Linked DNA regions of Oryctolagus cuniculus. The protein of the gene in region 3 purifies or fractionates together with the protein of the main gene of each other region. This does not show direct contact. Links are inferred from orthologs where the notes say so. Each region holds a gene or a part of one and is shown on either strand. Other genes may lie near its edges.

Region 1 (7,279 bases), on a different chromosome or scaffold from region 3:
CTTGGGCCTGACCCAGCCCCAGCTGTTGTGGGCATTTGGGGATTGAACCAGTAGATGGGAGCTCCCTCCATCCTTCTACCTCTGTTTCTTTTTCTCTGACTTGCAAATAAGTAAAATAAATAAAAAAGAAATGATTGCTGCAATGTTGCATTTTGTTAAGTAGGCAGAAGGGGTAGAATGAGGCAAGCGGTGAGCTGGAGAGTTTGAAATCCCGGCTCGTTACGTTCGTCATCGCTTTTCAGGGATGCTTTTCAATGCGCAGCTCCTTTAGGCAAAAATCTGTTCTGCCTTGCTCATTACAGTGCCCTTAGCACTTGACCCCACGCCTGATAAGAGAGAATAAGCCTGGACTCAAGTCTCTGCTCTGCGCTGTTGGGCCGCACCCATCCCCAGTGCTGGAGCTCAGCCCATGTCAGGTCTGGACAGTTTAAACTCCCTGAGCCTCAGCTGTGCACCTGCAGAACGGAAATGTTAGCCAGCTCACCGTGCTGCTCTGACACGCCAGGGCTAAAAGGGCAACACTGCCCAATCGTTCATTCCACAACTATTTGTAAACGCAAAAGTCTCACCAAAAGTATGGAATGATCAGTTCCATCAAAAAGAACAGTCATAACGAAATGATGGCGAGCATCATGGCACGGAGGGGTAGCCTGCTGCGTGTGACGCCTGCATCTCACATTGAAGTGCCCGGGATCTTGGATGGCACCCAACCCCCACTTCCAAGCCAGCTTCCTGCTAACGTGCACCCTGGGAGGCACCCTGGGAGGCAGCAGAGCAAGGCTGCCATCCACGTGGGAAACCCAGATGGAGTCCCTGGCTCCTGACTTCGGCCTGGCCCAGACCCAGCTCTTGTGGGCATTTGGGGAGTAATCCAGAAGGAAGATTATCTTTCTCTCTTTCAAATAAATAAAAAAAAACTTTTTACATTATGTAAGCATTAGCTAAATATAAATACTCATTCAACAAACATTCATGGAGTTTCTGCTACGTGCAAGAGACCTTGCTGAGTGCTAAATGCAGAGGACAACCACACAGGGCAATATGCCAGAATTTCTGTTTTTGAACAAGTTTCACTCAAATAGATGCGAACAGAAAGAGATCACAGTGTCGAAGGTAAGTTACACGGAAGAGCAGGAGAACTGCGCAGAGCCCCATCAGGGACATTCTCCACCCAAGCTGCTTTCAGGAGAGAAATGGGTTCCCTTAGCTTCCCAACGATACCAAGTCAGTCCTAAATTAGAGCCAACATGAGCCATTTGTCTTTGACTTACTCACTGCAATAAGGCTATAGATTTTTTCTAAAGACCCCAGTGAATGCTGGAAATCCTCCAAAGGAATTAGATACTTTTGTTTTTCTGAGTTTCTGCCAGTGGTCCAAACCAAAAAAGCCAAATGGAGCTGTTGGCGCGCCCGTTCCGTACTAACTGCCAACTCGTCTCTGGGAACACAGCGCCCTTCTATTTCAAAGAGGCCCCTCAGCAACTTGTTCCACGTCAATCAATGGCTGAATTAAGAAAGGATGTCAGATTCAAGTGTTTCAGATCCAAGTCCAAAAACAAGACCAACTTCTCTTCTACCAAAAATAGGATTTAATAACTTCATGTGAAAAGCTTTTTAAGAACTTACCTCAAATTCTTCCCAAAAGCCTTGCTTGACTTTATCTGTGGTCTCGGCCAGTTTGCTCAGTTCTCGAACACGGCTCTCTATTTCAGCTGCGTTTATACGGGTTGTATTGAGGGGCTGATCAAGTTCAGCAGTAGGTGTAAAATGAAGAAAATATAATGTTAATATATAAAGAAAGCCTGCAGGCAAGGACAGGCCTCTCGGGATGCGGTATGCCACAATAAAATTCTCAAATTCAGGGGCAGGCGTTCGGCCACTTAGGACACCTGTCTCCCACATCAGAGTTCTAGTCCTGGTTCTACCTCTGATCCTAGCTCCCCACTTATGCACAGCCTGGGAGGCAGAGGTGAGGGCCCAAGTACTCGGGTCCCTGCCACCAACATGGGAAACCCAAACTGAGTTCCAGGCTCTGGCCTGGCCCAGTCCTGACTGTTGTGGCCATTTGGGAAGGGAATCAGCAGATAGAAGCCTTCTCTCTGTCTATCTCTGACTCTCTTTCAAATAAAATGAAAATAAATAATAATAATTTATTTAAGTTTTCAAATGCAGTTTCACCTTCTCTTCTGTGCTGCTAGGAAACGAAACTTTCTTCAATTCCACACACACATTACTCTGCTGATAAAAATTCAATCCTATTTTTCTTTATAAATAGACCACAACATTATTTTGAAAAATTCTATCATCTGCCACTGTCATAAGGGTGAACTCCGAAATAGCAACAACTTTAATGTCCATGTGGTCACCTAACAACAACCAGAGTGGATCCATGCTGAAAGCTTCCTCTAAAGCCATCAGGCTCTTCACAGACACCAGTGGAATTCCACAACATCTGGACTTGGTTTCCAGACACCACGGAGGTGGCCAGTGAACACAGCATACAGAAGGAAGGACTAAAGAATCAGTTACAATTGAGGCTGAAGAACGAGCACATGGACGTTGACAGCGCTACTCTGTCTACCCCTGTAAGTTCGGAAAACTCTAAATTGGGGTTTCAAAACTTTAAAAGGAGAAGGAGCTGTAGCTTTCTGAGCCACTTACCTGCTTGAGTTGCAGCACTGTGCCCAAGGTTTCTACCATAGGATTTTTCTTGTAATGTTCCACCAGATCTGTCAGAGAATCAAACCGCTCTCCTCCACCAACATCGTATTTCAGTTCCTTTCAAGACAAAAAGACGGCATGTATTACCTTTGTGTTTAACTATTGTGCTTCCTGCATTCCTGTGTTCGCGGCAGCAATATCTACAATAGATGGGATACAGAAACAACCTACACGTCCAGCAACGGATCAGATGAATAAAAATGGGGGAGGGGGGAGTGCTATGGGACAGAAAGCTAAGCTTCTGCCTGTGGTGTTGGCATCCCATAGGGGTGCTGGTTCAAGTACTAGCTGCTCTTCTTCCGATCCAGCTCTCTGCTATAGCCTGTGAAAGCAGTGAAAGATGGCCCAAGTGCTTGGACCCCTTCACTCACACAGGAGATCCGGAAGAAGCTCCTGGCTTCAGATCGACCCAGCTGCAGCCACTGCAGCCATTTGGGGAGTAAACCAGTGGATGGAAGACCTTTCTCTCTCTCTCTCTCTGTAACTCTACCTCTCAAATAATAAATAAATCTTTATTTTAAAATGTGGTGTGTGTATGTATATGTGTGCATGCACAAACACTGGAAAATTATTCGGCCATAAAAGGGGGGAGGGGGAGCAAATCTTGACATGTGTGACAACATTATACTTGCAGACATTACATAAGTGTAAAAGGCCAGGAAAGAAAGGCAAACACTTCATGAGCTCACTCACAACTGGAAGCTAAAAACACACCCATGGTGACACAGAGCAGAACAGTGGTCACCAGGGGCTGGGGCAAGGGGCGGGGCTGGCCAGAGTGCACAGCTTTCAGTAGGATGCGGAAGCGCAGGGGCCACAGTCAGTAAAAACGTCTTGTCAGACTGGACTTTGCTAGAAGAGTAGATCTCAAGCATTCCCATCATGGGGGGAGAGGGGGTTGTTAGGCATGATTTAATCTGCCAGAGATAACCTGGAAGTAAATAACTCAAAAGAGTTTTGAAATCCTGAAACAGTTATAATCAACATACCACAAGTGCAGAAGCCCTTGACTAAGCGCAGAAACGCTGACCTGGGCCGCACAGCATCTGTCTCCTCGCAGGTGAAAACCCCCCAGGGTGACAGTTTGCAGCCCTGCAGGCCGGGCGGAGCATTACCTGACAGCGAATCATGACGTGGGTCACCTTGGACTTGCCGTCATTGCTCTCCACCTTGTCGTCGCCAGTGCGGACGGAGAGAACAAAATCTCCAGGGTGGCTCTGGCTCTCGCGGACCAGGAAGCTGCCATGTTTTCCTTTCTCAGTCAATAATTTCTCTGCTTCTTTCCCAGAGAGGTGCCCGTGAAACCACCTGGTTTTAAGAATGAAAACAAATTGAGTTCCACTGCCAGTTCACAACATTCTTTTCTAAAACTACCGTAAACACTCCAGTCATTGCTAACGTTTCCTGCAGAGTAAAACCCCAGGTGAGGACCACTGCCTCATTCATTCACAAGCAAAATTCATAGCCTCACCACATTTTCCCTACTCAAGACAGTATGCCACTGGATTAACTGGCTTGCTCTTGCAATTTCGTATGATATTTTGCAGATCCTATCTATGATTTCATATGATCGTCCACACGTATGTTCTGGATACAAAGCATCCTTCTCATCACTGAAATGATTTTTTTTTTTTTTTTGACAGGCAGAGTGGACAGTGAGAGACAGAGAGACAGAGAGACAGAGAGAAAGGTCTTCCTTTGCCGTTGGTTCACCCTCCAATGGCCGCCGCGGCTGGCGCGCTGCAGCCAGTGCACCGCGCTGATCCAAAAGCAGGAGCCAGGTGCTTCCTCCTGGTCTCCCATGGGGTGCAGGGCCCAAGCACTTGGGCCATCCTCCACTGTCCTCCCGGGCCACAGCAGAGAGCTGGCCTGGAAGAGGGGCTACCGGGACAGAATCCGGCGCCCTGACCGGGACTAGAACCCGGTGTGCCGGCGCCGCAAGGCGGAGGATTAGTCTACTGAGCCACGGCACCGGCCAGTCTGAAATGATTTTTAAGCATGGCACATGGCACTGTATGGCAGATTATATAGAAAGTTTATATAAATTTCAAGGAAATAGCAATCAATCAATAAATAAATAAACAAAAAACTACCATATATAGTCAGCTCTCCTAAGACAATTACGAATTAGTCCCGGCAAGGGACTCATCAATCTCACATAAGACAGAATTTGCAGTCCAGGAAGACGGGAAAATGACAAAAATGTTACAATGACCACTCGACTTTTTAAAAGAGCCCACAGTCATTTGGAGACAAATGTCTTCCAGTTTTTCAATTAAATCTCTCATTTAAAAAAAAAAAAAAGATTTATTTATTTATTTGAAAGTCAGAGTTACACAGAGAGAGGAGAGGCAGAGAGAGAGAGAGAGAGAGAGAGAGAGAGGTCTTCCATCTGATGGTTCACTTCCCAAATGGCCACAATAGCCAGAGCTGCGCCCATATGAAGCCAGGAGCCAGAAGCCTCTATCAAGTTTCCCACTTGGGTACAGGGGCCCAAGGACCTGGACCATCTTCTACTGCTTCCCCAGGACATAGCAGAGAGCTGGATCAGAAGAGGAGCAGCCGGAGGCCGGCGCCGCGGCTCACTAGGCTAATCCTCCGCCTTGCGGCGCCGGCACACCGGGTTCTAGTCCCGGTTGGGGCGCCGGATTCTGTCCCGGTTGCCCCTCTTCCAGGCCAGCTCTCTGCTGTGGCCAGGGAGTGCAGTGGAGGATGGCCCAGGTGCTTGGGCCCTGCACCCCATGGGAGACCAGGAGAAGCACCTGGCTCCTGCCATCGGATCAGCGCGGTGCGCCGGCCGCGGCGGCCATTGGAGGGTGAACCAACGGCAAAGGAAGACCTTTCTCTCTGTCTCTCTCTCACTGTCCACTCTGCCTGTCAAAAAATAAAAAAATAAATAAATAAATAAAATTAAAAAAAGAAGAGGAGCAGCCGGGACCAGAATCGGCGCCCTTATGGGATGCTGGCGCTTCAGGCCAGGGCGTTAACCTGCTGGGCCACAGTACCGGCCCCAAATCTCTCATTTTTTAAAAACGCAATTTGCCCTTTTTGATTGCCCACTCTTAAAAGACCAATTTTTCTATCATAGCCACATAAGGAAGTTCTAATAAAACACTGCAGGGGCAGGCATTTGGCAGAGCAGTAGGAACACCACTTGGCACAGCAGTAGGAACACCACTTGGCACAGCAATAGGAACACCACTTGGGATGCCTGCACCCATATCAAAGTATCCGGGTCTGAGTCCTAGCTCCACTTCAATTCCACCTTCCTGCTAATGCACACCCTGGGAGGCAGTCGGTGATCACTCAAGAAGTGGAGTCTCGGGGCTGGCCTGAAGCGCCGGCATCCCATAAGGGCACCGGTTAGAGACCTGGCTGCTCTACTTCCAATCCAGCTCTCTGCTATGGCCTGGGAAAGCAGCAGAAAATGGCCCAAGTCCTTGGGTCCCGGCACCCATGTAGGAGACAAGGAAGAAGCTTCTGGCTCCTGGCTTCGGATGGGCACAGCTCTGGCCATTGTGTCCAATTGGGGAGTGAACCATCAGATGGAGGACTCTCTCTCTCTCTCTCTCTCTCTGCTTCTCCTTCTCTCTCTGTGTAACTCTGATTTTCAAATAAATAAATAAAACTTTAAAAAAAATGTGAATTCTCACATCCCATACTCAGAGTCATCAATTAATACATTTAAGTCCGAATGGACCCAAAAATCTAGAGGCTTAACCAGCAGGCCACAGAGTCCTGACGTAGGCCGCCAAAGGTCACTCAAGGACAGACTTTGAGCTAACACTGCTCTAAGTTGTTGTGGGAAGCATCGTCACATAGCCACGTAGGCAGTGGGCCTTTTCCCTCAGGACCTCAGTAGGAAAGCAAGCATGACTGAGGCGGGTTATGCTAACCGTCCATCACTAAAGGAAAGGTCTCTGAGTTCTTTCTCATCCACACTCAACTGGAAAGAGTGCAGCGTAGAAACGAACTGCAGAGCTGGCCGACAGCCTCTGCATGGAAGCTGCAGGGGGAGTCAGAAACAAATTATTGGCACATGAACAGCACTGATGTAATGATGTAAAGCTGGAAAAAAAAAAAAAAACCCACACCTGCCGATACAGACAGACAAACCTCAGTAGCAGACCCTGCACCTGTGCTGAATCAGAGGCGGCCGGGGATGCAGAAACCCAGTACGAGACGTGCAAGTCGGCCAGGCCCCAGCTTGCATCACTTGGTTCCCACACCAGGGGAAGATCTCCAACATAATGCAGTTCCCGTTAAATAAGGGCCCTCCCACATTCGTGAATATAACATGAAAAGAACGGATGACAAAGCTGGCCCTCCAAGTTCTCTCTGCCTTTCCACTTCCAGGCTTCAACTGACATCTGCTGGTGGACTGCTGAGTAACTACTGGTCAGGAGCCGCCCAGAGAGCTGTTGCAATCCTGGTGTCTCCATTACCATTTGTCTTCCTCTCAATACCCTCAAAGGTTTTCAACTGAAGTGCAACAAAGCTTAGAAGTACTGCAGGTGCCACGTATGTACAGGAACAGCGTGAGACCCCGCAAAGTGAG
Region 2 (6,942 bases), on a different chromosome or scaffold from region 3:
ATCACCCCCAAGGGTTGCGCCTAAATTGCCGGAGATGGCCCGGAAACCTGGCTTCCTTCTGACCCCGCAGAAGGCTCCCGAAAGGCGCCGCTGGGCCGCCAGAGGGCGCCAGGGGCGGCGGCGAGCACAGGGTCGCGTCATGGCCGCGGCGCGCGTGCAGCTGCTCTTGGCCGGGCGTCTGGAGTCCGTAAGCTTCGCGCGAAGCGTGTGTGGCCTCCTGGGCGCTGGGCCCGGGCCGGGGCCGTGGCCCACGTACTGCGGCTTGGAAGGAGGACGACTGATCCTCTCGGACAAGCCATTCCCAGGCTCCGCGGCTAAGCTTCCGCTCCAGGTCGGCAGGAGGAGGGAGGCCCGCGACGGGTGGGGAAGGTCCGAAACAGGGACTGCGACCGGGTGGGAAACCTCCGGCGAGAGGCCGAGCGTTCCGGCCTCCCTCTCCGCGCGGTGGCCCTGCCCTGCTCCTGGAGCTTTAACCCAGGCTCCCTCCCACCAGCGACCCCCTTTCTGCCCTTTTGCGGCACTGGACCAGCAGCCCAGGCCCCCCGGTGCTGAGCTGCCCGCGAATCGAGGTGTGGATCTGGGTGTGGCCGTCATTCTGCAGTCCAGCGACCAGACTGTCTTGCTGACCAGAAGGACACGCACCCTCCGCGTTTCCCCCAACCTCTGGGTACCCCCAGGTGAGCACTCTGGGGACAAAGCCCCAAGGCCAGAGAAGAAACCTGCCTTCCCCCCACCCCCCACCCCACGTTGCACTTCCTAGTCTTGGAATGGAGACGCGGGCCCGGAAGTGTGGCCTGTCCACATTGCTGCAGCTGCATCTGGAGACCCCTGGAGGTGGGGCTTCTGGTGAAGACAATCACCTTTCACCTCTTGGTCCCCACTCTCCTTGCAGGTGGACATGTGGAACTGGATGAGGAGGTACCAGTCAGCGACCCAACGGGCACCCCTCCACTGGGTGTGGGCTGAGGACAGGGGGAGCAAAAGGCATTGGCCGCCTGACCCGCCCTCTCTCCTACTCCCAGCTGCTGGATGGAGGACTCCGAGAGCTCTGGGAGGAGACTGGACTGCGGCTGGCACAGGGCCAGTTCTCTTGGGTCCCTCTGGGACTATGGGAGGTGAGCCAGGGACCTGGGGACCATCCTTTCCCACTTAACCAAGAGACCTCAGCAAACACTCTGCTACCACCACGGCCACTGCCGCCACCAGCAGCAAGTCCGCAGACGCTGCCTTAGCCACAGAGGAAGTGGGAGAGGCCCAAACCCTCACCTGTGTCCCTGGTGCACCGTGTCTACCATCCACTTCCTCAGCTGTGGGCCCACCCCAGAGCTGTACTTACTAAGTCTCAGAATCAGAGACAGGAAGCCCTCTCTTTTGCCTTTCTTCTCAGTCTGCCTACCCGCCTAGGCTGAGCTGGGGTTTCCCCAAATACCATCACATTGTTCTCTATCTACTCGTCATCTCCCAGGAGTCACAGCAGCAGCTGCAGGTAAGGCTGGCTAGGGAGGAAGGAAATGGGGCTCAGGGGATCACAGGGGGCGGGGCAGAGACACCAAGAGCATCCAGTAGTTCCTCCCCTGTCTTTAAGCATTCCGCTTGCAAGTAGGCTAGTATCAAGGACAGGCCTCCCAGGGAGAAGCCGGGACTGAGGGGTCCTGTCTGACCCTAGGCCAGGATCCAACCAAACCCAAGTGAAGTGAGTGCTTTTATGTGGCTGGGACCAGATATCGCAGCTGCAGTGGCTGCCACGGAGGATGGGACAGAAGCACCCAGAATCCTCCCCGCGGACCTACCACTCTCTGTGGGGTAAGAACTTTTCCCTGAGCTCTACCCACCCCACCACCCCATTGATTTTCTGAGAATTAAGAAACCACATGAGATCAAGGACTCCAGCTGCCTAGCACGGAGGTCCAGAGTTTGACTCAAAGCTCTCCCATGGGAGCCAGTCCCTTAACCCTCCTTGAACATGCTTCCTTTTTGTAAAATGAGGTTCACAGCTAGCCACCCACCTGCTACAGTAGTTGAGAGTAGATGACCTAACATATGAAAGCCCAACAAGGCAAAGCCCAGACAGGAGCTGTCCCCATGCAGAGCAATGGAACTAGAGGAGGGCAGGGCCCGAGCCGTGGCGCTCCCCACATCCACGCTGCTGCGGAACACCCCCCCTACCGCAGAGGACAACCCGGAGAGAGTCAGCTCTGGCACCAAGTTTGCCCTCGGGCTCTGGCTACAGCAGCTGGGCCGGTAAAGGTGAGGAATGGGAGGGTTCTGTGGTGCTGGGCTGGAGTGGTCTGGTGGTGGTCTGGGCGGGGGCACGGGAGGGTTCTGTGGCACTGTGGAGTGCTCTGGTGGTGTTCGGGGTGGGGGGGCATGAGAGGGTTCTGTGGCGCTGGGCTCCAGTGGTCTGGTGGTGTTATGGGCGGGGGCGCGAGGGAAAACCGACTACTCTGGGAAGTCCTCAGTGTGGCAAGCGTGGACCCAGGTCGCAAAGGAAGAACAGAACGTGGACCCTCCTCCCCTACCCCAGCGCTCTGGAAAGGGAAGTGGGTAATCCCCTCCAGAGCCCACCTCCACGACGCTCACAGAACATTCACAACCTTTATTATGGGTGAGAAACCTGCTACAACTTTGGGAATACAAAGTAAAATTGCAACACGTATGCTGGGCCCTGGAGGGGCCCGACAAAGGAGGGCACGTGGGTCCCCCCACTTCCCAGGAAAGGTGCAGAATAAGCCAGGCCTGACTACAGGGCCACGGGCCTCTAGACGCTTAGGCCCCAGGCTAGTCAGCTTAAGAAACACTGTGAACTTAAATATATAAATAGAGACCCAGGCAAGAGGCTAGGCCCTGCTCCCAAACCCCTGGGGATCGCGGCTAAGGCCTCATCTCCTCAGTTATACTGGGAAGTAGGAGGTTGGGAAAGTCATCTTTGGAGTATTTTGGTTTTTCTTGTTTATGTACAAAATATCTGCAACCCAAAATAGAGTTCTCTGTCCATCTCTGAAATCGCCTGTCTCAGTTTCTCCATCTCATCTGCATGGCCAAAGGGAGCGGAATAGACAAGAAGAAACAATGAAAGTTTGGGTTTGGGGGATGGGAAGAGAGGGCCCCTCTGCCAAGAGGCTCTAGACAGAGTAGAGGCCAGGGGTTCAGCCCCTCCCCCCGACTCACACCCCCTCCTGTTGGCCTAGGTACCCAAAGGAATGTGCAGCCATCTGAAGACTATTTCCAAAAATAGACCCCTCCATGTCCTTGAAGAGGTTAAATATTAACCCTTTGGGTGCTGGCCTTGTCAAGCAAAGATGAGGCCACCAGTAGGTCTCCAGGAAAAGTCAGGCCTGACCTCTGACCACAGTCCCCAGAAAGGTCAGGCGGCCACAGCATACCTGCTGCGGGGTGGGGGGCAGCACAGGCTCCACAGTCCAAGGGACTCAGTCCAGGGAGATGATGTCAGACCGGCAGCCAGTCAGGGAGGGCCCTGAGGGCAGCGGGCCTCCGTGCCCCTCCCTCAAAGCCCCCCCGGGGGCCACAATGCTGCTGACCCGGCCAGGAGGAGTCGCTGGAGTGGAGCTGCGGTGTGAGCTCCCCAACGAGGGGGCCAGTGGGCCCAGGAAGTGGGAGGGGGTCCCTCGGTACTGGAAGAAGTGGCCAAGGGCATCCTGCTCATCCAGAGAGGTGATGACAGAGGGGCCGTAGTGCTGGGAGGGATCAAGGGCACAGTGTCAGACTTTACCCCTACTCAGCCCCGCCTCCTGGTCACAGGGTCCAGAACTGTTATGGGGACCCTAAGGTGTTCCCTGGGAGGCAAGAAGCCTCTCTCTGACTCTTCCCCCTGCCTCCCTGCCACGCCACCCCTTTTCCAGGCCTTGACACAGCCCTTCTGGGTTGCTAGGTTCTTGGCCTTTGTGGGTGTCTGAAATATGTGGACTGTCCAGTTGGGGCAGGTCTGGTGCTCTTAAGCATACACAGGTTGCGGGGGGGGGGGGGGGGGGGCAGGGCCAGAAGCTCACCAGAATCCCTCGGGACAGAACAGTAAGGGATCCAGGAAGATCTAAGTGGCAATCTGAGGAAGTACCAGTGCTGCCCGCACCCCACCTCCCCTGAGAAAAGCGGATCCGGGTCTCTGTGTGGGCCCCAATCAGAGCTGCACGGGAGAAGGGACCACGTACCTGACTCTCCGTCTGAAGGAAAGAAAATAAGTCTAAACCTGGGAGGAAAGGGAAAATACAAATCACCCTCCTGTCCCACCCTCTTAGCACCAAGACAGGCAAGTCTTTGGGATTCCGGCCCCTGGTGAGCAGCAAGGGCTCTGCTGGGCTCGGGGGAGTGGGTAGCAGGGTCGTACCTTGTATGTCGGCCCCCAGGGGGAAGGCAGGTGGGTACTCGTGCAGTGGGAGACTGGACAGGAAATCCCCGCCCAGTGTGCCCATAGCAGGGCTGCGCAGCACCGAAGACGGCTGATGGCCAGACGTCAGGACCCTGCGAGTGGAGAGAAGGAGCTGGGGCAGCCGGCGAACCCCAGATGCCCCACCCCGCCCAGCTCCCCAAGGGTCCTCTCTGTCCCCATTGCCTTTCCCTTGGCCCCAGGTTTGCCCGGTGAGCAGAGAGCACTACTGACTTCTGCTGTGCCCTCCCTAGTGCGGAGTCAGCCTACTTTCTCATACCCTTTGCTTCCCGGCAGGGCTGGGATGGCAGCCGAGGTGACAGGACAGTGCTTCTTGGTGGGAGGCAGATCCTCCTCATCTGAGGAGCTCTCTATTGTCAAGTCAATCACTTCCACCTTCTTCTTATTCTCTGCTGGAGCTCCCTCTTGGACTGGGCTGTACTGGGGGCCTGCAAGTGGTGAGAAGACTGTGTCTCAGAGAAAAGGCCAGCCAAGGTCTAGCTCATCTGGGGGACAGGGGGTCACTCACCATCCAGCCCATACCCTGGCGGGGGGCAAACCTCAGACGCCTCCTTCTTGGGCTTCATTGGGCACCAGGAGCCATCTTCCATGAACTGGATCTCATCACAGTCCGAACAGGAATTTAGAATCTCCATGAATAAACTGTGGGAGGGAAGAGGTGGAAATTCATGGGGCTGGGAATTGAGTGCCACAGTGGCCAGAGAGATGCAGGACTCACCTTCCTGGGCAATAGAGGGATCCTGTCCAAACTACGGGACCTCCTGGAGTTGTTGCAATCAAATAAGAGCTTTACAAACTGTATGTTTTAAAGTGAACACAAGCTGAGCCCTAGCTATGCATGGTCTAGGAACAAGACAGAAGCAGAGAGGCAGAACTCCACCAACCACCCCCAAAAAGGCACTGGGACCAAGAACCATACATAGGCTCAGGACAGGGCCCGAGACCAGCCAGATCAGCATCCCCAGGCCCTCAGGAGGACCTCACCGCCTCCTTAGTGGGAGGTCAGGGAGTCGTTACGAGCGATACACTGGCCTCTGCTGCTAACAGTGCAGCCTTGAGTAAGAATCTCCAAGCCTGAGTTACCCCCTCTGTAATGAAGTACCTACCTCACAGGGTTATGAGGAAGATCTAGTGCAATAATGCATGCAAAGTGCTTAGCATCAAGATGCCTTATCTATACTAAGTCCTTAATGTCACCACATATGTGGAGTAGTAGAGGGACACGGTGAGACGTGGGGTTCTCCTGGTGAGGAGAAATAAGCCATATGTACTAAAGGGGGTCTGGGGCAGGTGTTTGGCCTGGTGGTGAAGATGCCTGCAGCCCCTATCACAGTGTCTGAGTTCAGCTCCTGGCTCTGGCTCCCAGTTCCAGCTTCCTGCCATTGCAGATCCCGGGAGGCAGCAAATGATGGCTCAAGAAGTTAGGTCCCCTCCCTCTAGCTGGGAGATCTGGGTTGAGTTCCCAACTCCCAGCTTCAGCCTGGCCCACCAGCCCCAGCTGTTGGGGGCATTTTGGGGGAGCAAACCAGCAAATGAGAGCTGTCTTGCTGTCTGTCTCTCTGGCTCTCACATAAAGGTAAAACAAGGCGAGGTAGAGGAGATAGCCTAGGTAAAAGGAAGCAGAGTGGCCCTACCCATCAATGATAAGAGATTCATAGGGTGCCTTCTTGTCACACACAGGACATGTCCACGTTGGCTTCTTCTCATTCATCTGCAGATAAAGGGCAGCATCGAAGCTCTGCAGGTGGGCGCAGGTGAGGGCGCGACAAGGAACAGTGAGGCGCATTTTGCCGAGCTGCGGAGAGCAGTTCTCCAGTCAGAGGCCCCACTCTGGAATCTGCAGGGACCCCCCTCCTGAGTCCAGAGGATTAGCCCCACTCCCTCCCTTGTCCCTTATCCCCCGGTACCCACCGGGCACATGAGTGATACCCGGAGACTCGTGGTAGCCACCTCACTGTCAGGGTCAGCGGTCAATTTCTCCTTGACTGAAACAACAGTGAGGGCAGAATCATGGGGTCAGCAAGGCTGGGAGAGACCCAGGAGTTGGTGAGGCCAGAAGCAGATGGCTCTGGCTGAGAGGCAGCTGGGTAGAGTCTTTGGGGGCCCATGGGATGTCACATGGGGTTGGTCTGGAATCTGTATTACGAAGGCTGGACGCTGGGAGGATTTCTACATCCCTAAAGGTGCTTAATCATAGCTAGGTGACCTTTGGCTGTGTTAGAAAGGATCTAGAAGGAACTGAACATCATGTGAGGTGAGATTAGTTGATCCCCAACACTTTCCAGTTCAGAGAATCCATATTCTAGCAGGGCTGGAGTTGGGCTCTGTGAGGTGCAAAGCAGATGTATGACTGGGAATGCACTGGAGTTGGCCAACTTCTCAACCTCGAAGACTGGAAGGAGAAGGGATGAGGTTCATGAAAGCAAAGTTGTCAGAGATGGGGAATGGGTTTGGTTATGAAAGCTAGAGGACCAGGAAGATTTGACTGTAGATCAGAGGGAGAAAGGGAAGGATGCTACTCACTCAGTGCCCGGGAATGG
Region 3 (7,279 bases):
AGGACATTAGAAAGAAACGCAAAACCAAGAGGGTAAGCCACTTACGGTGTCACACAGATAAACTTGGTCTTCAGGTATGGGGCAGCACCTGGAAGAAGAAAGCTGGGCTTACTGAGCGTGACCTCACTCGGAGTGCAGGGCGGGAAGGGGCCGTCTCCCACCAGGCCGGGCAGAGGTTGTCTGGAAACCTCCTGCCACCCGGCCGCCCTCCCAGGCTCTGGGCCACGTGATGCGCTCGGTCCCTGCAGCTCTCAAGTTCAATACTTCCACGAAGCCTTCCTGAGCTGCATGCACTTTCCAGCATGCCCTTGTCCTGCCTGGGCCTACACTAATGCTGACCCGGTGTTCACTCCTCCCCTAGGTTGTGTGAACAGTTAACCGCCTCCGCGTGGTCTGGGGATGCTACTCTGGCCTGGTGGTATCTCTCAGATAACTGCTCTGCACGTGGGGACCAAGCCTATGTGTGGTCTTTGCACGGCATCCAAGACTAGGGTTACCAGGTCTTCAAAGGAACAGAGTCTGCAGACGCCTGTGGCTCCAAAGCCAAGGGCGTTCCTCCTGTCCCCATCAGCATCAGCCTGCCTCGCCCACACGCTGGAGGAGGGCACTGCGGACGTCCCAGCTGCATAAATCTATCAAGCAAACAGCAGCTTCCCTACTCAGGGGAGAGGTCTTCTGGTGCAACTGGCTCAGCCAGCAAACTAGCAGGCGAGGCCTGGGCTCGTCTTCAGCGGCTAAGAGACCCAGGACAATGGAATCTGTATCTGTCTTTCTCTCTCTCTCTCTAGCATAAAATAAGAGGGGAAAGAGAGGCGCTGACTACCTGTGGGCCCTGCCATTGATGGTACTTGTTCTATAGTTTAAAAAGTGAGGACTTGAATAACTGAATCATGGATGCTGACTGCCTACGCGGCGTGAACTCTGGGGAGGTACGGAGGATAAAGCATTTAGGAAGCACAGGACGCGATGGGGTGGGCAAGAGAAGGAATCGTATAGCGGGGGGCTCACGGAGGGGCTCAGGGAAACAGGGACCAGGCGCAGAGGCTGGTCTGAGAGGCCTGCAAGGTGGCCACTCGCGTTCATTTTGGCTCAAGAAACTGAATACTTCAGAGAGGATGGCAGAGGGTAAGGCAGGTTCTGGGGTCTTACAGAGCAGGCCTGAGGGGAGCTGATGCCCTAGATGGAAAGGGGTTTAACTCCCTACGAGCCAGACAGCTGAGAAGGGACAGCAGACACAAGGATGAGCGGCAGCCTCTGGGGGCTCCGCACAAGGCTGGAGTATCTCCAAGTGGCTCAGAATCCCTCCCTCCAGCCAAGGGGACACCGTGTGGGCTCACGGTGGAAAGGGAGGAGAAAGGACCGGGAAAGACCCATCTCTGAGACTCTCACACGTAACATGCGTGCAGGCCCCCCCCTCCGCCCAACGGCAATGCACACAGCAAGACCCTCGGCGCACCCTGGCAAGGGAGACACGGCCCCAGACCCGCAGCTGGGATCCTGCAGCCGACCTTAGTGCACAGGCCCGGCGCTTGGGCCAAGGGCAGTGCGAGAGGGAACAAAGGGAGCGTGAGAGGGGCTGATAGACCCGACTCCCAACTGAAGCGCAAGGTGGGGAGAGAGATAAGCAGAGACAGGAAGTCAGAGTTAAACCCTCCACTGCCTAGCGAAACTCCACACCAGAACAAAGGGAAAGCCAACCGTCGGCGAGCTCAAACCCCTCTTCCCCGCCCCCAGAAGTCCCTCGGAGGGAGCGCCTATGAAAAAGCGTGTGTGAGATCTGGACAAAACCAGTTTGCTTTTTTAAAGAAACTACTCATGCAGGGAAAACCAGCTCCAAAGGAGCGCGTTAAAGAGCCCACCGCTGGCTCCATGAGTAAGAAAAGCCAAATAAGAACCAAGACTCGGGACAGGCGTTCGCTTAGCCTAATGGTTAAGCCGGTGCCGGCTGACACGCCTGCGTCCCACACGGTGGAACGGGCTCGGAGTCCGGGCTAACGCAGACCCGGGAGGCGGCAGTGATGGCTCAGGTAACGCGTGAGCCTTTGCTAAGGCCCCTGCAGGTATCTGGGGAGTGAATCAACAGATGGGGGCACTCTGTCTCTCAAAGAAGGAAGGAAGGAAATTCAATTTTAGAAAAGGGAAAGAAGAATGCAAGCCAGAGGCTGCTCCTCAGGACAGGTGCGGGGACAGCCAGCCAGAGTTGGAGTGGCAAGCGTGTGATGGACGCAGACAGGAGGGCTCCCCCTACCCACGGTTCACACCAAGGACCCAGGGGCCACAGGTGTAACGTATCTCTTCCTCTCCCTCTGTCACTGTCTTTCAAATAAATAAATCTTTAAAAACTGATTTTAATAGCCGCACATCCTACATGCGAATCCCACACCCCTCGCACCGGCTGCCTTCACCCCTGCGAGCCCTCCTCCGCGGTGCTCCCTGCTCTGGCACCGCCAGGCCCGTGTCCTCCAGGAAGCTTTGCAGTCCTCCTGCCACTGCTCCGGTGCTTTGCGGGGCTCAGGTCTCCGTCCCGGCCCTGCTGGCACCCCCAACACAGGAAGCACCGTGCTAGCTGGGCATCCAGTCCTCTCACGTTTCGTGGGCAGGGGTGACCTATTTCCCCATTCAGACTGGGGTGCTCCCTGTGGGGCAGGGGCTGGCCACCCGGAGTCCACTCTTCTCTCAAATCACATCGGCCACGGCCAGCAGCGCCTGGCGAGCTCCTCCCCAGGAGGAGAACGAGGGTCTCCCAGGTTATTCCGCCAAGGACCCCGCAACCTGCAGCTCCTCCCAAGAAGGAGGACGGGAACGTGGAAAATCAACAACTACCTGGGTCAGCTTCAGGGTGCTCCTGGCTCTCCGGCCGACAGTACTTTCCGAACGCCTCCTCCTTAGGAATGTCGGGGTAGAGATAGACGAGTGGAGACACCAGGATGTTGGTGGCGTCCATGATCTTATAGCCCATGATGATCTCAGCAAACGACATGTTGTTCAGCTGCTGCTTGGTGTACGGCTCCACCGACTGGATCTGGGTCTTCCCTGTCGCACGAGGTGGGAAGGAGAGGTGCTGGCACCTGCGGCTAGGCGTACTCCCACAGCATACTCCCCCCAGGCGTGTCTCCTTGGTGGGGACAGACCTATGGCAGGCCAGCGCTCGCGCCCCTGAATACCCCTCCCTGTGGCCTGGCACTGTGGAAAGGGCCAGGATGACTATGACAGAGACTATCATTTTGGCCATAGGCAACAGACCGGAGTAAGATGTGTTAGTGAGGGTAGGCAAGAAAGAGGATGAAGAATAAAAAATTTCAACTGCAAATTTCTTGGAACACACTGCTCACTGGAACAAGCGAAACAGACTGGCAAGTCAATCTTTCAGACGCAGGAGTTCAAAGGTGGCCGCACCTGTCTGCGTGGGGCAGGGGAGTGTGAGGCCATCTCTGCCCGCCAGAGGGCAGCAGTGCTCAGAACCAGCCCCGCCGCGAGGGAGCAGCAGAGCTCACTTACCACTGATGTCCTTCTCCACCCACGTGAAGGTGACACCTCCCTCTTTGCTGCTTTCGCTGAATCTCAGTAGGAAGGTGCCTGGGGGCTTGGTGCTCAGGATGGCCCGCTCCCGCTCCTTGCTGATAAAGCCCATTATGTACCTGGAGCCGGAGAGGAGGACAGCATTGCTGGGGCTCCAGGCCATTGGTCCCGGGCCTTGGGGCTGAGAGGCAGGTGACTTGGCTACCCCGGGCGCTCTCTGCTCAACCTACCCTTCATTCCAAAGGGCCAGGATATACTTTTTCACAAGGTCAATGATGTTGTCCAGCCAGACCCAGAAGGAAAAGCCCTTGCCAGCCATGTTTTCCTGAAGAAAATAATGGGGAAATCAAGTCCATCGCCACCCCAGCCTTTTCTCCCTGGGGCAGAGGGCACTGCCCAAAAATACCTCCTTAGGTCCCCTGCCCTCAAGGAGGTCCTAGAAGCCACTGGACCAGAAGTCACTGGCCTGAAGGCCCAGCAAGCACTATGCCCATCTTTTAGGGACGCGCTCCCATGCTCACTCCCAAGAGACAACAGCAAGGAGTAAAACGGTTGCTTACTTTGCAAAATTTAGCCCATGTGATCTGACACCCTGAATAGTTCACACCAGGTCCTGAAGGGACAAAGAAGAAAAGTAGCAAATGTTCAGCTCTGAGTCAACACCTTACTTCTTAGCACACACACTTGGCCCGTAACAGGCCATGGAGCTACTGGCTGTCACGTGTCTGCAGGCTGCCACTGCCATTCGTGTCCACGCACACACGCACATGCACACACCCTCTCCCATCCCTTGGCCCTCCAGGGCTGCTGTGCAGCTGGGCAGAGGTAGCGGATGATGGGGAGCAGCAGCACACACCATCAAGCTGACAGAGTTGATGGCAGCACCAAAGTTATCCATAGTCCAGGTGACACACAGAGCATTCTAGAAACTTTCTCCAGGGGAGAAAAACTTCAAACTAGGCTACAGTTTATCGAAGAAATGGACAGAAAACATCAGGTCTTCAGCACCACCTTCTGAGAAACACATTAAATATCCTAAAAGGATGGGGCAGGCACTCAGTGTAGTGGTTGACTCACCACTTGCACCCCATTATCAGAGTGCCAAGTTCAAGTACCAGTTACTCTGCTTCTGATCCAGCTTCCTGCTAGCACACACCCTGAGAGGGAGCAGGAAATAGTTCAAGTACTTGGGTCCCTGCCACCTTCGTGGGAAACATGGATTGAGTTCTGAGTGCCTGGCCTTGGTCTAGCCCAGCCATGGTTATTGCAGGCATTTGGGGAGTGACCCGGTGGACAGAAGATCTCAATCTCTCTGTGCCTTTCAAATGAAATAATTGTTTTACAAGTTTATTTAAAAAAATTTTATAAGGTTGGACAAGATATTATCCTCAAAGGGCAGGAAAGACAGCAACCAGAGGAGAAAAACGGAAAAATCTCCCTCCCACCTCATAGAAGCGAGCGGCAGGTCCCTGCACCCCGACGCCCAACCTCACGGAGCAAAAGCTTCCTGCCCGAGCACAGTGCCTTGCTCAGGGCACACCGACTGCAGGAGAGCCCCCCGGGCCAGATTCCTCGTCTGAGGAGGGCAGGGGAAGAAGAGGTGACAGCGAACCTAGGAGTTTCTCGGCCAGCGTGGTCAGCTGCTCGATGCTCAGCCCCCGCTTCGTGGTGGAGGAGAACTGCCAGCTCAGCACCTCGGCCACTTGATCCCAGGTCCCGATCGGAGGCTTGGTGAAGAAGTTCACGTTCTGTGAAGACACCGCGGTCGCCGTTCAGACGAGGGCGTGGTGCCAGTGACCGGTGCTGGGTCCTTACCGGCGAGCCCCGGGCACCGACCTTGGGGTTGTTGGTCAGCATGTTGTACCACAGGATGGACGCCCAGGCGTTCGGCATCTGGCAGATGTTGGAGATCACCACCACGGGCAGGGAGTGGGTCTGCACAAAGTGGGGCAAGGAGTTGGGGGGTCACTGCGGCTGCCACAGCTTCCAGAGGCTGCACCCCCTCCTCACAGGCAGGGTTTGGCATACAAGGATGCGCCAGGAGGCACACCCGCTGCCAGCTCTGGCGCGGAGCGGCGCCAAGTCAGCACAACACTCCGAGGGGAGGGGACAGAATGCTGGGCAAGGCCTCGGGACGCAGGCTGCCGTCTGCACACACCCAGAAGCTCGGAAGTCACCCCCGGCTCACAGGCCGCCAAGTCCCCATTAACACCGGAAGGCATTCTCCAAAAAGTAAAGCCGCCTCTTCCCACGAAACAGCGAGGTGGGAGAAACCGCACACAGGGATTCCTGCTTTCCCAGGCCTCTGCCATGTTCCTCTGCACACTGGGACCTCCCGTATCACGTGTGTGTGCGTATTCTGAGCTCTCAGGACGCCATGCTCAAGCGGGCCACCAGGAATGTTTCAGAGAACCGAACCCCCAGCAGGGCGCTTCGCAAACGGCGACCACTGCCGCTCAGCTGGTCACGACCCCACAGCGGGGCTCTGTCCCGAGCCAGCCCTGCACAGCGTGCGGCTCACCTCCAGGTCAATCTTGAGGCCTTGGTGGTACACCTCAGTCTCAAAGGTGATCAGGTGCAGCTCCTCCGTCACAATCAGGGAGGCCTGCAGGAACAACAAGTGCACCCTGTGTCCCGCTGAGGGCAGAGTCCCGGCCTCGCGACTCGGAGCTGGGCAAGGCGCCAGGTGGCCACGCACAGACGGCCTGGGACCCGGCTCAGCGTGTGTGCCCTCCTCAATGCTAAGAGCGGGACCCGACTTTCCACTCTGTTTTGGTTCTGGTATCACACAGATCCGACGGTTATTTATAAAACGTGTATGGCACAAAGAATAACAAAACCGCGAGCTCCTGTGCGCCCACCCCCCCACCCCCCTTCAGGAAGAGACCACAGCCCCTGAGATTCTCAGCAGGCCCGTCCCTCCTCCCTCGGAAGTAGCGGCTGTCGTCCTAGCTGTTCTTAGTGTGTCTATCTGTTTCCCTAGACAGCATCTGTAAGCTTCCTTTGAGGTGTCTGGGAGCCCTGTACACGTGGAGTCTACCCCGTGTGTTCTTCTGTGCCTCAGGTCACCCACGGAGGGGTCCCTGTGGCTGTGTGCATCTGCCGCTCACTCCTGTTCAGGCTGAGCAGCGTGTGTGAGTGTAGTGCTGATGGCCGTTCGTCTGGGTCACGTTCAGAGCGCACAGGCAGGCAGCTGAGGCTCTGTGGTACCCCCTGTGCCGTCTCAGGATCTGCACTGCTGCCGTACGGCTATTCCCAAAGAGACTGGGAGAATGTCTACTCCTGCCAGCGCTGCAGCAACATTTTTGCAACAAGAGTACTAATGAATTCTCAGAAAAAGAATTCCAAATCATGTGAAAATATGCTTTTTCTGATTGTAAAAGTAAGACACTTTGTCTAAAAGGCAAATAACTAAGATGGTACAAATAATAAGATGGCACAGAGCAGCCTCAGATTCAGCAACACTGATATACAGGCACCATTTGGTGTATATTTCTCTAGAATGTTACATACACACATAATCATATTTTTAAGCAAACATACTATTACATTACTCAAATTATTTTACATTCTGCTTTTTCTAAATAAATATGCCACACACATTAAGAATGGCTTAGTGGGGGCCGGTGCTGTGGTGTAGCGGGTAAAGCTGCCGCCTGCAGTGCCAGCATCCCATATGGTCGCCAGTTCAAGTCCCTACTGCTCTACTTCTGATCTAGCTCTCTGCTATGATTTGGGAAAGCAGTAGAAAATGGCCCAA

What was found. Proteins that work in one complex are often made in the same cells at the same time.
Region 1: the proteins of STAT3 (region 3) and PTPN11 purify together in Homo sapiens (affinity purification with western blotting; 3 studies listed by BioGRID). This does not show direct contact. The link is inferred for Oryctolagus cuniculus from reciprocal best matches to the Homo sapiens genes STAT3 and PTPN11.
Region 2: the proteins of STAT3 (region 3) and PIAS3 purify together in Homo sapiens (affinity purification with western blotting; 5 studies listed by BioGRID). This does not show direct contact. The link is inferred for Oryctolagus cuniculus from reciprocal best matches to the Homo sapiens genes STAT3 and PIAS3.

The regions. Positions count from the first base shown.
Region 1 is NC_091452.1:9,756,075-9,763,353, reverse strand, and holds part of PTPN11 (tyrosine-protein phosphatase non-receptor type 11), read right to left. Parts: intron 4,030-7,279; coding exon 3,837-4,029; intron 2,779-3,836; coding exon 2,662-2,778; intron 1,741-2,661; coding exon 1,627-1,740; intron 1-1,626. UniProt on the Homo sapiens protein: Acts downstream of various receptor and cytoplasmic protein tyrosine kinases to participate in the signal transduction from the cell surface to the nucleus. Positively regulates MAPK signal transduction pathway. Dephosphorylates GAB1, ARHGAP35 and EGFR.
Region 2 is NC_091438.1:49,037,210-49,044,151, reverse strand, and holds the end of PIAS3 (E3 SUMO-protein ligase PIAS3), read right to left. Parts: coding exon 6,926-6,942; intron 6,388-6,925; coding exon 6,314-6,387; intron 6,198-6,313; coding exon 6,037-6,197; intron 5,045-6,036; coding exon 4,911-5,044; intron 4,831-4,910; coding exon 4,662-4,830; intron 4,477-4,661; coding exon 4,343-4,476; intron 4,205-4,342; coding exon 4,167-4,204; intron 3,696-4,166; coding exon 3,429-3,695; 3' UTR 3,031-3,428; coding exon of another isoform or gene 3,013-3,030; 3' UTR 2,582-3,012; downstream 1-2,581. Other genes in the region: NUDT17 (nucleoside diphosphate-linked moiety X motif 17), read left to right, coding at 35-331, 494-677, 893-918, 1,023-1,115, 1,388-1,486, 1,667-1,803, 2,089-2,245. UniProt on the Homo sapiens protein: Functions as an E3-type small ubiquitin-like modifier (SUMO) ligase, stabilizing the interaction between UBE2I and the substrate, and as a SUMO-tethering factor.
Region 3 is NC_091448.1:20,492,458-20,499,736, reverse strand, and holds part of STAT3 (signal transducer and activator of transcription 3), read right to left. Parts: intron 6,125-7,279; coding exon 6,041-6,124; intron 5,455-6,040; coding exon 5,356-5,454; intron 5,268-5,355; coding exon 5,132-5,267; intron 4,133-5,131; coding exon 4,080-4,132; intron 3,845-4,079; coding exon 3,750-3,844; intron 3,639-3,749; coding exon 3,499-3,638; intron 3,034-3,498; coding exon 2,821-3,033; intron 89-2,820; coding exon 46-88; intron 1-45. UniProt on the Homo sapiens protein: Signal transducer and transcription activator that mediates cellular responses to interleukins, KITLG/SCF, LEP and other growth factors. Once activated, recruits coactivators, such as NCOA1 or MED1, to the promoter region of the target gene.